Linked DNA regions of Macaca mulatta. Each later gene encodes a partner of the first gene's protein in a complex. Links are inferred from orthologs where the notes say so. Each region holds a gene or a part of one and is shown in the gene's direction. Other genes may lie near its edges.

Region 1 (3,736 bases):
TGATCCGCCTGTCTCGGCCTCCCAAAGTGCTGGGATTACAGGCTTGAGCCACCGCGCCCGGCCAAGGGTTTGTGTTTCTAACAAACTTCCGGGTGAGGCTGCTGGGGCTGGTCTGGAAATTAGGCTTTAGGAATCTCTGGTCTCTATTAGATGGTGATATACAGGATCCCTGCCACGTTATGGAAATATCCTCTCCTTTTACCAGGAGAACTTGGGGAATGACGTGATTTGGCTCTGTGTCCTGACCCAAATCTCATCTTGAATTGGAATTCCATAATCCCCATGAGTCATGGGAGGGACCAGGTGGGAGGGAATTGAACATGGGGGTGGTTTTCTCCCCATCCTGTTCTCATGACAGTGAGTGAATTCTCATGAAATCTGATGGTTTTCTAAGGGGCTTCCCCCTTTGCTTGGCACTCATTGTCTCTCCTGCCACCCTGTGAAGAGGTACCTTCCACCATGATTGTAAGTTTCCTGAGGCCTCCCCCGCCATGTAAAACTGTGAGTCAATTAAACCTTTTTTCTTTATAAATTACCCAGTCTTGGGTATTTCTTCACAGTAGTGTGAGAATGGACTAATACAATTACTAACTTCTGGTGACCTTGGGTGAGTCCCTTGCCTCCTCCGGGTTCAGCGTTCTCATCTGTACAGTAAGTGTTCTGATAAGATGTTTTGTACCCTAGGTAAGCCCAAAGAAGAAGAGAGGAAAGAAGAGAGTTGGGTAGACTGGGCTAGACTTCTGACTGTAGAGATCTGTATGACCTTGGGCAAGAGACTCAATCTCTCTGGGCTTCAAGTTATCTGTACAATGGAAGAATGAAATTAGATGGTTTCTAAGTGTAAAGCTCACTGAATTAAAGGATTGAGGATGGTGGGGAGAGATCAGTGGGGTTCTAAGGCTAATCAGACGATGAGGACATATTCTCCACCTGCCCAAGACTTTGAAGCCCAAAACACAGGTTTCTCTCCTTCTCTCCCTCCCTACCCATCTCCCTCTCCCTTCACCTTCCCCTCCTCCCCATTACCTTCCTCCCTGCCCTCCCTTTTCTTCCTTTCTTTCTTCTCCTCCCTTCCCCTCTCTTCCCCTCCCCTGCCCTGCCCTTTTCTTTTCCTTTCTAAAAATATTATTTTAGGCAGTCGTAGGCAGTCTTGGCTTTGGAATCAGACAGACTCAGATCCAGCCATGGCTCCGTCAGCATGAGCTGGGTGCCTTGGACAAAACGACTTCTGCTCTGTGGCTCCAGCATCCTCACGTGTAGGATGGGCAAGTGATGCCTCCCTGATGTTGGTGGTGGTTCACATGGCTTACTCCACGGAAGCACTTGGCACAGGGGCCCACAGTGGGCACTTCTGTTATTTCTTCTGTCTGGGGCCAAGGGTGGGCCTTGGAGCCAGACAGCATAGTTGGAATCCCAGCTCTGTCAACTGCTGGTGGTGTGGTCTTGGGCAAGTGACTTAATCTCTCTGTGCCCCAGTTTCCTTATTGGTAAGACTGGGGTAGTAATAATTCCTGCTATCCAGGGTTGCTGTGAAGTGTAAGTACGCATTGCCTAGCAGGCTGCCTGGCTCTCAGTTGTTTTGATTATTCCACTAACGATGGTGACCACACAGTTGATGAACCAGCACTTAGTGCCTGGCTAGGGCAGGGAACAAATACAGTTATTTCCCTACAGAGTTCCTGGTGTAAGGAGTTCTTGGTGCAAGGAGAGAGACACCTTAACAGGCAAGGACAGCACTGCATCAATGAGGTGATGGGGTGACCCTGAGGGGCAGAGCAGCCCCTGAGGGTTGGGGAAGGCTTCCCTGGGAGGTGATCGTCAATCTGAGACCTGAAGAGGCAGTAGGAGACCATCGGGCCACGAATTAGGGCAGGAATAGCATCCAGGTGGGAGGAACAGCGTTGCAAAGGCCCAGGGTGAGAGGCAGCCAGTCTGTCGGTCAGCGTGGAGCTTGAGCCCCTCACCGGGAGCAGAGGCGCTTGCATTTCCCCCAGCAGCCGGGGGTCGCATGTGCTCCGGTTTGCGCTCAGTAGGCTCAGCTTCCCAGCTGCAAGAGGCTGCCTGAGGGGCGGGTCGTCCCCAGCGGGCCCCCGCCGCCACCCACGAGCCCAGTCCCCGGCTGGTAAGGGCACCCTCCCCTCGCAGCCCCTTCTCCACGCAGCTAGCCGCCCCCGCCCTCGGTCAGCCCAGTTTCCTGCCCCTCCCTCTTGCTCTCCTCCCTCCAGCTGTTTCTCTGGCTGAGTTCTGTCCCAGTCCCATTCAGGGAAGCAGCCCGGCGGCCAGGAGGGAGCTCAGCACAGAGCGGGCTCCCTGGGAAGCCCCCGGGTGATAGGGGTGCTCCAGCCGCAGCGCTCTGGGGGTTCGGAGGGGGATCTTGAGTGAACAAATGAATGAACTGCTTTCTGGGCAAACAGCCACAGCCAGAGGAACCTGTGATTTGGAGAAAGAAGCCAGGGTGTGCAAGTCTCCCCAACAGCCTCCAGTGGCCTGCAGTCACAGGGAACCCTCAGGAAGACCTTCCGGGCAGAGACCAGAGGAAAGGTATCTTCACACACTTGCCTTGGGTGTCTTCTGAGAGGGGCCAGGGAAGGGGAATGAATACTAACAGAGAGAAAAGTTTGTTTCCTTTTATAATTTCGTATTTGTCAAAAGGAAGAGTTTTGTTATTATCTTCAGATGTCAAAAGTAATGCATGCTCACTGTTTAAAGAAATAGCAAGGACACACATGTAAATATATGAACGTGCATTTCCACATCTAGTTTGGTAACCTGCTTAACCGCAGATTGTGAACTTTCTTCCATATCACCTATATTCTTCCAATATACATTTTTCATGGCTGCATAGAAAGGGTATCTTAAGATTATTTGACTTTTCCATAATCGACTTGCTTCTCCTTTTTTTTTTTTTTTCTATTAGAACAGTGCTGCAATGAACACTTTATTTAGTATGACATCTTTGTGTGTGTGTCTTATGAATACCTTTTAGAAACTGCTAGATTTAAGGTTTGCCTATTTTTGAGACTTTTTTAAGCTTTTGGTCACACTGTATCTTGGAAGGCTGTGACAGCTTGACCTCTCTATGATGTTATACCAGGGCACAGTATTCTCATGTCCTAAACCCACCTTGTTGCTACCCATCCCTTAAAACTTCCCTGATGTGAAGTTGAGAATACTATCCAGATGCTTCAATAGGTATTTCATTTATTTATTAGTGTTGATTCTCTTTTATAAACTTATTTTCCACATTTCTAGTGTGACTCTCCTGCTCAAGTCTGTTCCCATTTTTTTTTCTCCTCTGGGGACATGTTTATCTTTTTCTTATTGATCTCTAAGAGTTCTTTGTATATGAAGGACACAAACCCTTTGCCGGCACTCTCTGTTGAAAATATTCCACTCCCTACTCTGTTTTCAGAATAGCTCATTTTAAATGGGCAAGACAACTTTGGCAAAATTATAAATAAACAACACACTGCAATATCAGGGAACTACTACTTGGTATAAACCCAATCACTCAGACCTGTGCGGTTCAGAGATGCCAGATCACTGGTCTGAGGTCATACACCTGAACATCTAGGTTCTGAGTCTTTCTTTTTCTATTAGGGAAAGCCCTCAACTTCCCTTTTGCATCCCTACCTCCTTCTCAAGATCAGTCTTCTCTGTGGTTCCTGCCGTCTCTCCTGCCTCTTCCAAACTGGTTTGAAGGAAAGATTCCTCTAAATGCCTTGGCTGCTGAGGT
Region 2 (3,736 bases), on another chromosome or scaffold:
TAAGTGTTTTTTGGGGTGAAATATTTTGGTTTCCTTCAAGTTCTTGGGCTGGGAAACATCTTTGGGTGTATCTTTTCTCTCTAACCCCATCTAAAGCTTTCAGGGAAGGCAGATCCCATCTCTTTCTGCTTAAGGAAGTCTGAGTAGCTCAAGCTGGGGAGTGAACTGCCCTAAGTAGTGGTGGGATTTCACGCACCCGGAAGTGGTTAATGGAAGTCGAGTTTCTTTCTGGTGCCCCCAGAGCACACTGTTAAGGAAGCTTTCAGCTCTAAGTGGAGAACCCTGGCCAGGGGTGCATAAGTAGGGGACAAAAGCCTTGTGCCCGGTACTAGACATCAGTTGCTTTTCATGTTTCCTCATTTAATCCTCAAAACAACTCCTTAAGACAGTTTCTGATCCCCATCTTACAGATAAACAGAAGTTCAGAGAGAGCCATGAAGTTACATGAGATCCTCTACTTCAGGTGATCCCTGTGCTGTGGGAACCAGAGGCATGGTGGTGGTGGTTACTGACATGCGAAGTCCCAGAGCTTCTTCGTCCTTGCTCCAGCATACCCCGGAGTCCAGCCGCTATTTGCACAGTTTTCCTTGGGTTTCCTCTCACTTTATGAATTCCATCATGCTGTTCTGCCACACCGGAAGGCTCCTCCACTCCCCATGAGAATCTACCCCACGGATAATGAGACACGAGGAATTGTCAGGAAAGGCAGATGCAGGATCCACACTGGACATCTTTGCTGTCGATCAAGGTTGCAGGCGCCAGAGTCCTCCCTAAAGGAGAGACCTTCCTTCTCAGTGTGGCTCAGGGAGTGGGAGGCGGGGACAGGGGTAGGGACCTCATCGAGGTCTCATTTGGTTTGAGGATGTCTGTATTTCGGGGAAGAAATCCCAGGATGAGTGTCTCAGGGACGCTGGGGAATGGTCCCCCGTAAAGGACCCAAGACAGGGCAGCCCTGCCTGGGCAGGAGTGGGGCACAGAAAGCCCCTGGGGGAGCAGAGCAGCGGAGAAGAGGCCCAGGCCGGCCGAGACCGCGGAATGCTCAGGCCGGAGCCAGAGGGAGGTGGGACCAAGGGCTGCGCGCCCGGGCTAGCCGCCTGCAGCCGCGGCCGGGGTCAGGGTCATGAGGGCTGGACTGAGGGGAGGGAGAGGGGTGGGATGGGGAGGAAGGGCGCGGGACGGCATCCCGCCCCAGAGGCCGGTCCCACGGGGCAGGGGAGGAGCCGGAGTTGCTGGAGAGGGTCCAGGAGGTGGGGGTGGGAGGAGGTGGGGGCCACCCCTCGAGAAAAGCGGGAAGAGGCAGACAGCGAGGCCAAGATTTCAGCTGCGGGACGGTAAGGGGAGACCTCCAGGCGCAGGGAAGGACGTGAGGAGGGGAAACGGGCTGGGGCGGCAGCCGGGCGGAGGGGCAGCTGCGCAGGCGGAATGACGAACGCCTTTGGTCTAAGGCGACCACCCTGGCAGCTCTTCACTGAGGGGGCCTCGGTTTCCACATCTGTCTCTTTCCGGTCCCAAGACCACCAGGACCGACGGGGCTCGCCGGGAGGGTCAGCCCCTCCGGTGGCCCCAGTCATGCATCAGGGGACTACTCAGAAGGGCTGGGAGAGGGGTCATGGGGAAGGCCCTAGAAAAAAGAGGAAGGAGGGAAGATTTTGCTTGAAGCGGGAAAGCCAAGGGCTGGGTGGCGCGAGACGCGCATTCCTAGCGACTGGGGCGGGCTGGTGGCCCGAGGCAGCCCCCGCGCGGGAGGGTGAGGCCTCCCACGGCTCCCACCCGTCGGGCCCTCCCACGTGTTTAGATCCTCCCAAAAGTATTCGACCTCCGACCCCTGCCCCTCCCCCAGGCTGGCCTGGACCTCGGAGACTGGGGACCCCGTGGGAGCACGATGATTCTGAACAGGGAGGGAGTCGCGGTCTGGGAGAAGGTTGAGCGGGGAAAGGAGAGAGGGGCTCCGGAGACGGCAGGGAGGAGAGGGGGTCGTGTCAGAGACCCAGGGAGAGGGAGAAAGGGCAAGATGAGGGGTGGAGGGTGGGAGTGGGAACTGACTGATTCCTGGCATGGGCAGGGAACTTTGCTAAAACTGCAGGCCCCAGGGAACAGCGCGGGCAGGGTGGAAGGGAGCGGAGAGGACCAGGAAGACCCCAAGATCAATTTGGAGAAAGGGCCATTTCCAGGCTCCTTCACCTCTGCCCAGCGTTCTACATGCCTGTCCCCCCCGCCGACCCCCCCGCCTTCCCCCCCGCCTTCCCCCGAGAGCAGGGCGCGGGAGTAGGCGGCTCGGGCTGGCTCGGAGAGCTGAAGGGCGCACACCCGCTTCGCAGGGCCGGAGTGACACGGAAGCATGCGACGGCTGCTGATCCCGCTGGCCCTGTGGCTGGGCGCGGTGGGCGTCGGCGTCGCGGAGCTCACAGAAGCCCAGCGCCGGGGCCTGCAGGTGGCCCTGGAGGAATTTCACAAGCACCCGCCCGTGCAGTGGGCCTTCCAGGAGACCGGTGTGGACAGCGCCGTGGACACGGTGAGTAAGCATGGCCCTGGCGGGAGCAGGGAGGCTCGCATCCCGGGAGACCAGCGCATTCCCAGGAAGCGAGACAGAAGTGCTTGGGCTCTGAGCCCCAGCCCTTTGGAGAAAAGGCCCCAGTCCAACCTGCTGGGATGTGACTGCGTGAGGGAGGCGCGGGTCACACCAGGGCTTGCTCTGCACGCTCAGCTGGTTACCGGCCATCCTCTGCCTGCCTGTCTGCAGCACTTCCCAGCTGGAATATTTGTGAGGCTGGAATTTAAGCTCCAGCAGACAAGCTGCCGGAAGAGGGACTGGAAGAAACCCGAGTGCAAAGTCAGGCCCAATGGGGTGAGTGAAGGGGTGTGAGAGCAATGGGCGCATGCTGGGTGTGAGTTCATGGACTTGGGGTTTGGCGTATGGGGCACATGCCTGGGTGTGCCTGCATAGAATTGGGAGGTCTATTAAGAAGCCCTGAGGTTAGAGACCCCACTGTGAGGAGCCTCCTTAGAGGTGGAGCGGCTCAGCCTGAGCCCAAGGTTGTGAGGGTGGTTGGTGGGGAGCTGGGGCCTGGCAGACAAGAAGAGGGTTTGGTTACCCCTGGACTTATCTTCATCAGAGCAGGGCTCACTTCTGTCTGAGTTCCTCTCTCAAGCTTCAGGGCCTGGGTGGAAGGAGCTCGCTGTGTGGATGTGTCTGGTGCCCTCCTAGCCTAGCAGGGCTCCAGTCATCAGCCACAGTGGGGGCAAACCCTCCAGCATGGGGGTGATGCCCGGGATGGGAGTGCAGTGACTGTTCTAGTTCCCACTCTGTGAGTACTGCCTGGGCTCTGTATTACAGGTTCTGTAAAGGCTCCAGTTCCCTCTGTCGGCTCAAGGAGGGCACTGGATTATAGCAATGATTCACCAACCTCAAATCAAATCTTACAAGAAAATGTAATAAACAGAATAGGTGACAGCTGAGCCACTCTGGAGGCGCTGGGTGGGAAGAACCCATCGGAGGAGGATTCTTGCCTTCACACGAGCACAAGTGGATACGTCCATGCATACATCACACACCCATCCACCCACACTCCTGCATACAAACCACATACATGTGTGTTCATGCATGTGCCACACAACCCATCTGGGAAGGACTCCTGCCTGCACACACACGAAAGTTCCATAGTTTGAAAACTGCATGGGTCTAACTTCTGACATTCTAGGGTGGGCTGTGCCTAAAACCTGCTGGCCTGCATGACCT

The links. The genes of interacting proteins can lie anywhere in the genome.
Region 2: the proteins of CMKLR1 (region 1) and RARRES2 are in contact, whole or in part, in a cryo-EM structure (PDB 8ZJG), measured with the Homo sapiens proteins. The link is inferred for Macaca mulatta from reciprocal best matches to the Homo sapiens genes CMKLR1 and RARRES2. Residues at the interface, in NP_001135815.1 of Homo sapiens: Asp20, Tyr21, Leu22, Asp23, Ser24, Ile25, Val26, Val27, Leu28, Phe88, Leu92, His95, Tyr103, His104, Asn116, Leu119, Ile120, Met123, Arg178, Leu183, His184, Gly185, Lys186, Ser188, Cys189, Phe190, Asn191, Trp203, Thr205, His217; in NP_002880.1 of Homo sapiens: Leu34, Phe37, His38, Phe60, Thr75, Ser76, Cys77, Arg96, Leu111, Gly112, Arg113, Leu114, Val115, His116, Cys117, Pro118, Ile119, Thr133, Leu136, Arg137, Gln139, Arg140, His146, Ser147, Phe148, Tyr149, Phe150, Pro151, Gly152, Gln153.

Annotation. Positions count from the first base shown.
Region 1 is NC_133416.1:115,475,274-115,479,009, reverse strand, and holds the start of CMKLR1 (chemerin-like receptor 1), read left to right. Parts: upstream 1-1,168; 5' UTR 1,169-1,265; intron 1,266-1,341; exon of another isoform or gene 1,342-1,674; 5' UTR 1,675-1,724; exon of another isoform or gene 1,725-1,749; intron 1,750-1,929; exon of another isoform or gene 1,930-2,122; intron 2,123-2,257; exon of another isoform or gene 2,258-2,541; intron 2,542-3,600; exon of another isoform or gene 3,601-3,734; intron 3,735-3,736. UniProt on the Homo sapiens protein: Receptor for the chemoattractant adipokine chemerin/RARRES2 and for the omega-3 fatty acid derived molecule resolvin E1.
Region 2 is NC_133408.1:189,729,294-189,733,029, reverse strand, and holds the start of RARRES2 (retinoic acid receptor responder protein 2 precursor), read left to right. Parts: upstream 1-1,276; 5' UTR 1,277-1,331; exon of another isoform or gene 1,332-1,363; intron 1,364-1,780; exon of another isoform or gene 1,781-1,921; intron 1,922-2,318; 5' UTR 2,319-2,338; coding exon 2,339-2,512; intron 2,513-2,641; exon of another isoform or gene 2,642-2,740; coding exon 2,741-2,845; intron 2,846-3,736. UniProt on the Homo sapiens protein: Adipocyte-secreted protein (adipokine) that regulates adipogenesis, metabolism and inflammation through activation of the chemokine-like receptor 1 (CMKLR1). Also acts as a ligand for CMKLR2.